Linked DNA regions of Sus scrofa. The protein of the gene in region 2 purifies or fractionates together with the protein of the main gene of each other region. This does not show direct contact. Links are inferred from orthologs where the notes say so. Each region holds a gene or a part of one and is shown on either strand. Other genes may lie near its edges.

Region 1 (4,056 bases), on a different chromosome or scaffold from region 2:
AAGTGATCTTGGCTTCTCTGCTGAACAAGCTCCCAGGTCTAATCCAGTCAAAAGATTCTGAAGTAACACCTGGGTTATCCTGTCCCACTCCCGCCTCACAGGTAGAAGGCGCCTCGACCTCAGGGATTGTGACTGCAAATGCCTCTGTCTAGAGAGCCCCTCCTGACTTAGTCACCTCTGCTCCAATTGGAGTTAAGTCACACTTTATCGGGGCTCCCAAGGATACAATTGTTATTCATTACCTTGACATTGTCAGTGTGGCTTAGAAGCCCATTCTCCCAATTCAACTCTCAGATTCTTTTTTTACATTACATTTATTTTTTTATTAGGGCATCATTGATTTACAGCATTGAGTTGATGTCTGCTATACAGCATGGTGACCCAGTTATACATACATATATTCTTTTTCTCATATTATTCTCCATCATGGTCTATCCCAAAAGATTGGATCTAGTTCCCTGGGCTATAGAGCAGCACTTCATTGTTTATGCATCCTAAATGTGATAGTTTGCATCTATCCACCCCAAACTCCCCATCCATCCCACTCCCTTTCCCCCGCCCCCTGAGCAACATCAAGTCTGTTTTCTATGTCTGTCCAAACTCTCAGATTCTTTTTTTTTTTTTTAAGAGAGTCTCATTTTATTTATTTATTCATTTATTTGTCTTTTTTTTTTAAGGGCTGCACTCATGGCATGTGGAGGTTTCCAGGCTAGGAGTCCAATCAGAGCTACAGCTACTGGCCTATGCCACAGCCAGAGCAACACCAGATCCGAGCTGCATCTGCAACCCACACTACAGCTCATGGCAACGCCAGATCCTTAACCCACTGAGCAAGGCCAGGGATCGAACCTGCAACTGCATGGTTCCTAGTCAGATTTGTTTCCACTGTGCCACGATGGGAACTCCCCAGACTCTCAGATTCTTGAGGATGAAGATTCTTTGTTCATTTTACTCTTACCTGTGGCCTATGTCAACCCACAAAACAGCCCACTCATCAGATGAATAGGTGAATCTAGCACCCCCCGCCCCGCCACTCTGCTCAAAAGCCCTGAGGAACCGCCTCCATTCACCAGAGCAAGAAACAGAAAAGAGTTTATTCACAAAAACCCAGTCAGCAGCTTCCAAAAATTTTTCAGCAGATTACTGACATCATATGATGCCAGGAGAAGTGGAAGTGGATCAAGAGAAACAGCAACAACAACAATAAACCCTTGCATCTGTAGCATGCTTCCTGCTTTTAAAAAGTACTTCACATGCTAAATTATCACAGTTGAGCCTCACAGCCATACTTGTGAAATCAGCTATTATTATTCTTTGCTTTAGGAGTAGGAAAATGAAGGCCCAACCGATGGCAGTGGCTGGCTCAGCCTCAATGCCTTGTAACAGATGGTTCTGAGGCTTCAAACAGGCCTTTGGACCTCAAGCCTCAGACACGTCCCAAGGCCCACAGTGCTTTCAACTCGCTTTCATATAGTTTTTAATCATGCATGTCATCTCCAAATACATATTTTTAAAAAAAATTTTTTTAATTTTTTGGCCACCCCGCAGCATACAGAGTTCCAGGGTCAGGGATCAGATTTGAGCCACAGCTGTGGCAATGCTGGACCCCTTAACATACTGTGCCGGGCTGGGGATCGAACCTGCATCCTGGCACTGCAGAGTTGTCACCGATCCTGTTTCACCACAGCGGTAATTCAACATACACATGATTGATATAACTAAAGGCTGGTGAGAAAGGAATCACTAATTTAAGGTTACAAATTCTCTTTCTTTCCCACAGTGGCTTCTGTGCTCCTCTGAACCACCAAGAGCCTGCTGTGTGAACAGAAGGAAGGAACAGCTCAAGGGGACTCCAGCAGCCGTTCCTCTCTGGACTGAAGGGAACCTAGAGGTGGCTGATTGAGGGTATGTTCAATCTGGGGTCCCCAGCACCTGCATGAACAGGAACCTTACAGAAACGCACAGAAAGTGAGCCAACCCCACTAACTTCCTCAGCAGGGGAAAGACTGACCCATGGGGACTCAGGAGGGTTAACAAAGCTTTACAAAGGTCAGGAAGATTACTGTCAGACTTGTTATTTCCTTTCTCGGTGGGGAAATTGCCAGGCGCTGACATCACAGAAAATCAAGCTAGCAAAGAACACAGCAGATCTCGCAATCAGAAGCCATTTTAAGAGAACTAGCTCTTAGTCATTCCTTTCTCTCACCCCACTCTTCGGGCAAACCCATCCATCCAGCCCTTCTCCTTTCATTCAGTTGATTCTACCCAAGTACTTTAAGCAAACACGTCCCAAAAGTTCAAGGAGTTCAGAGGAATGAAGCAGCAGCAACACGGCAGTAGGAGCAGTGGGTTGAGAAAGGAATGCGGCTGCTGTTCCCCACTGTCCTCATTTCTATGATGCTCAAGTCCAGACCTCCTCCCTCCCTCCCACCAGTCCAGTCTCGGGAAGGGCTGAGGAATTACCTATAGTCTGAAATAAGATGAGGGTGCCTGAGCAGCTGGGCCTCCACTGTCCGTCTGTCCATCTTCAAGATCCTCTTGAGCAAGTCAAACCGCCTGACTCTGTAGAGCAGCTCAGCCAGGCTCACAAGAGACAGCTTTCCCCTCTCTCTTAAAATATCCAGAAGGTCCCTGACATTAAGTGGAACCACATCTGCAGCAATGTCTCGGCACAAAAAAAGAAGTATCTCCTTCTCATCTTCATCAAGTGCTTCTTCCACCTGATGGATGACCTCAGCCGACATTCTGTACAGTGTCATTCCAAGGAACGGCAGTAAGAGAAATCTAGTCCAGTCAACAGAAGCCCACGAGGGTACTGACTTCATTTCTGATGGTTTTCTTCATTTCTTTCAGAATCCTTTCCAATGGAGGAGTTCTGTGGTTAAAAGGGAATTTTTTTTTTTAAAAAAAAATCCTCCTATCAAAGTCACTAAAATTCCAGGTATAGGCCTTTCCTTTTCTTGTTGGTCTCCCTAATCTAGCAGGTTAAATTTCATACTGTTAAATCTATAGAAAGCGATCCTCTCAGTAGACAAAGCAACTGACCCCCAAACCAGAAGGGACGAAGAAGATAACACTATTTTTAAAGGAAATGAAACTAGCGACAAATCACCTCCCCAAAAATCCCACGTACTTTAACAGAATTTATTGAACACAAACTATGGTAAGGGGGAAATCACAGCTAGGGACTTAATGACTAAGTGGCAAATGGATGACCTTGGTGGAGGGCAGAGAAAAAGCCCAATGACTAAGCAGCTAACTGGATGAGAGAAGCTGAGATCACAGATAACTTCCCTTCCCTGACCCCCAAGTAGGCTTAAACAAATACGAATCTTAGCAAAGGGACCCCAGCAGGGCTTCAAAAAATGGTGGGAGAAAAGAGGTTTCTGTACCTACCCCACCCCATTTTTCCAGTTGTTCGACTTTGAAACCCCACATTCACACCTGCTGCCATCCTCCCAAAGTCCCCAGCCCTTTCCACAGCATCATCATGAATGCTCCTAGGACCTGCCACCACAGCTAAATGGGTCTTGTTAAGTTTGGATCACCTCTTCTGACCCTTGGAAGGGTCAGAAGCCCCCACTTACGTTACACTGCCGGACAACAATTATCACTAGAGTTCCTAACAGTGTAAATGGAAGGAAGGAGGTGAAGCCGAAGAGCTGGAGAAAGATCTGGGAACTGGGTGGGAGCAGTAGGGAATTCATGTCATGGGGTGAACTTCTCAACCTCTTCCATTGGAACACAATCTATTTTCTTTCAAAATTGGTTGTAAATGGTGGTCCCTGTCTAAAGTTTCATAGCTACATTTTATGGTAAATAATCTCTTATGTTCTGGGAGAGTACCTTGTCTGTTTCTACCACAGAAGCTTTCAGGTTAAAAGCTAATCTGAACAAAAAAATAATTGGAAACAGAACCCAGCTGTAAGTTAGCAACTTTCTGCTAACTGCTGCTACATATTTGTGTACAAGTATATTTATATATGTATCTAGCTAGATTTGGTGAAAGGAACACTGAAATCTATTTATTTTTGTACACAGTCTCAATTCACAAAA
Region 2 (3,585 bases):
TTTTTCTCTTATCTGTTCTGCATCTGTAATTTCCACTCATCTGTCCTCCACCTCGCTTATTTTTTCTTCTGCCTCCTGAATTCTGCTGTTGGCTGCTTCTAGTGCATTTTTTATTTCCGTTCTTGTATTTTGCATCTCTTCTTGTTTAAGTTTTATATCTTGTATCTCTTTGCTCAGTGTTTCCTGTAAGTTATCCATCTTTGCCTCCAGTTTATTTCCAATGTCTTGCATCATCTTCAGCATCGACAGTCTAAATAGTCTTTTTCCTGGAGGCTGAGAATCTCCTCATGGCTTAGCTGATTTTCTGGGGTTTTTCCTTTCTCCCTCATCTGTGTTATAGTTCTCTGACTTTTCATTTTTATTGGTTTTTGGTGTGGTGACCTTTTTCCAGATAATAGAGCTGTAGCCTCTCTTCCTTCTGCTGTCTGCCCCCCTTGTGGCTGAAGTCAGTATGGGGGGCTTGCTGTAGGCTTCCTGATGGGAGGGGTGATGTGATGCCTGCCCCCTGGTAGGTGGTGCTGATTCTAATCCCTCTGGAGGGTGGGGCTTAGTCTCTGGATGGGATTAGAGGTGGCTGTGTGCCCGAGGGGTCTTTAGGGAGCCTGTTTCCTGAGCGGTGGGGCTGTGATCCCACCTGGGTTGTTGTTTGCCCTGGGGCTTCTCAGGCTGACTGATGGGTGGGGCCAGATTTTCCCAAAATGGCCCCTCCAGAGAAAGGCAGCTGCTGAATATTCCCGAGAGCGTTGCTTTCAATGTCCTTCCCTCACAACAAGCCAAGTTCACCCCTCTTTTCCCATGATGTCCTTGGAGACGCATGTTTGCATTTTCTTGGGGTCAGACTTGCCTGCTCGTGGCGCAGGTGTAGGTCTAGTTTCATGGGAAAGTGCCGGACCTTTTCTCCCAGTGGTTGTCCCATCAATGTTCCCACCAGCAATGAGTGTGAATTCCCGTTGCCTCTCGTCTTCACCTGTAGCGTCCGGTGGCATCAGCCCTTTAATCCTAGATCGTCTGTGTAGTGGGGTTCGTGTGGGTCCCCATGGATTTCGAGTCCCCACTTCAGTTCAGGGAAAACAATGATGAGGAACAGCAGGGCGAAGGATGAAGCGGGTGAGAACTGGAGATGCTGCTTGGCGGCCCCCAGCACCGTGTTCAGTCTCCCCAGCCCACCCCTTCCGCGTCCTCCCTCTACCTGCTCCTCTGCTGTAGCCATTACCTTCCCTTTTGTGCTCATAATTGTTCTAAACCTGTTTATCTCTAAAGATATTCAATAGTTTAATGACCCGAAGTGCTCTGGTGCTGAATAGTGCTGGCAGTTGTATCTGCTGGCAGTTGGGCCATGATGGACTATTTTTGTTTTTGGTGGTGGTTTAGAATTTTGGAAGGGGAGCTCATGGTTTTTTTGTTTGTTTTGTTTTTTAATCTTAGGGCTGTACCTGCGGCATAGACAAGTTCCCAGGCGGGGTTGAATCAGAGCTGCAGCTGCCAGCCTCCACCACCATTATAGCAATGTGGGATCCGAGCCTCTTCTGTGACCTACACCACAGCTTCTGGCAACGCCAGATCCTTAAACCACTGAGTGAGGCCAGGGATCGAATTCACAACCTCATGGATACTAGTCAGTTTGTTACCATTGAGCCACAATGGAAACTCGTCATGGGTTTTTGTTTTCTGTTTTTCGTTTTGGTTGTGCCTGTGGCATGTGAAGTTCCCAGACCAGGGTTGGAACCTGCACCACAGCAGTAACCCAGGCTGCAGCAGTGACAGGTCCTTATCCCACTGAGCCACCAGGGAGCTCCAAGGGAGCACATGTTAAATTAGGCTTAATTTATGGGAATCCGTGTTAGGGGGAGTCTTTGTCTCAGTCCTCTTTTCTTGCATGTCCTGACCTCTGCTCCTGCCTCTGGCTGTGGTTAAACCCTGACCTTTGGGTGCCCCATAGGGCTTCTGTCTCAGTTATTTGTCTGCTGTAACAAATGACCACTGGCTAGGGGGCTTAAACAACAGACATTTGTCTCTCACAGTTCTGGGGGCTGGATGTCCAAGCAGATCCAGTGTCAGGTGAGGGCCTGTCCCTGGTTCACAGACATGGCCGGGCTCTCACTGAGCCCACACAGTGACAGAGAGAGGAGGCATGCTCTCTGTGTCTTCGAAGGGCCCTTAACTCATTCCTGAGGCCTTCGTCATGGCCCCATCACCTCCCCAAGGCCCCACCTCTGATCCCTGTCACTCCGGGCTTCAGCGTGGCAATTGGGGGAACATTCGGCTGTCACGTGGGCCCCTGCCGCCCTGCATGTCCTCTGTCCCTGGGGTCCCTTGCCTTCCTGCTGAGCCTCTCTGTTCACTTGAGAGCGTGTTGATGTTACGTGATCCAGGATAAGTAGTTTGAAGCAGGAGGGTTTTAAATTTCTAGTCCTTCAGTTTGCCAGAAATGCAAGTCTGTGGACTAAAGATTGGGGTCTTCTGTGCTTCTTGGAAATACGGGAAACAGTTCCCCGCAGGGACTGTCCATCTGTGTGTCCTCAGAAAACGCAGGCACACTAGGTGTGTTTTTTTGAATGATGACTTTTTTGCACTGACGTGTCCTTTCATTGTCTTCACAGGGCGCAGCGCTGAGGAAGAGAGAAGTTGTGTGTTTGGGGCTTTCCGAGCGCTGGAAGGAAGGCAGACATGTCTCTGGATGACATTAAGATGAAATCTTCTGACTTTCTGGAGAAGGAGGACCTGGAGAGCGGAGGCTTCGGAAAGGTGTCCTTGTGTTTTCACAAATCCCACGGGCTTGTGATTCTGAAGAAGGTGTACACGGGCCCCAAGCGCAATGAGTGAGTGGCCCCTTGGGCCGGGGCGGAGGGCATGGGCGGGCACAGGTTTTGGGTCAGGTCACCTGCTGGGCGTTAGTGGCGTCCCTGGATCACTAGTGGGGATGCAGGGGGGCTGGTGGGGGCTGACAGCGGGTAACCAGCGGCAGCAAACTGCAGCGGGGCAGCGGGGGCGGGAAGGGGTCAAGGGTGGGTCCAGGGCAGTGAGGCGCCATGGCAGCAGGCTGCAGGGGCTGGACGGCTGGTGCTTCGCTGGCTGCAGGGCGATGCGAGGCCCAGCCCCTCACCCGGGAAGGCGCTCGCCAAGGCGGCGGGGGTTGATTCCCTCTCCTTTCCCGGAGCGCTTGTGGGAGAGGCCATTTTCTTTTTCTTTTTTTTGTCTTTTTGCCATTTCTTGGGCCGCTCCTGCGGCTTATGGAGGTTCCCAGGCTAGGGGTCCAATCGGAGCTGCGGCTGCCGGCCTACACCAGAGCCACAGCAACGTGGGATCCGAGCTGCATCTGCGACCCTCACCACAGCTCACGGCAACGCCGGATCCTTCACCCACTGAGCAAGGGCAGGGACTGAACCCGCAACCTCATGGTTCCTAGTCGAATTCGTTAACCACTGCGCCATGACGGGAACTCCCTGTTTTCTTTTTCTTTTCCTTTTTCTTTTCGGCTGGCCCTGCAGCGTGCAAAATCCTGGATCTGGGATGGCACCCGAGCCCCATCCGCTGCGGTGCCAAGGCCAGATCCTTAACCCGCTGTGCCACCTGGGGCAGCATTTT

Evidence for each region. Proteins that work in one complex are often made in the same cells at the same time.
Region 1: the proteins of RIPK1 (region 2) and CFLAR purify together in Homo sapiens (affinity purification with western blotting; 5 studies listed by BioGRID and IntAct, with this or other methods). This does not show direct contact. The link is inferred for Sus scrofa from reciprocal best matches to the Homo sapiens genes RIPK1 and CFLAR.

Annotation. Positions count from the first base shown.
Region 1 is NC_010457.5:104,798,621-104,802,676, reverse strand, and holds the start of CFLAR (CASP8 and FADD-like apoptosis regulator), read right to left. Parts: upstream 2,867-4,056; 5' UTR 2,826-2,866; coding exon of another isoform or gene 2,760-2,825; coding exon 2,464-2,759; intron 1-2,463. UniProt on the Homo sapiens protein: Apoptosis regulator protein which may function as a crucial link between cell survival and cell death pathways in mammalian cells. Acts as an inhibitor of TNFRSF6 mediated apoptosis.
Region 2 is NC_010449.5:1,854,607-1,858,191, forward strand, and holds part of RIPK1 (receptor-interacting serine/threonine-protein kinase 1), read left to right. Parts: intron 1-2,600; 5' UTR 2,601-2,667; coding exon 2,668-2,819; intron 2,820-3,585. UniProt on the Homo sapiens protein: Serine-threonine kinase which is a key regulator of TNF-mediated apoptosis, necroptosis and inflammatory pathways.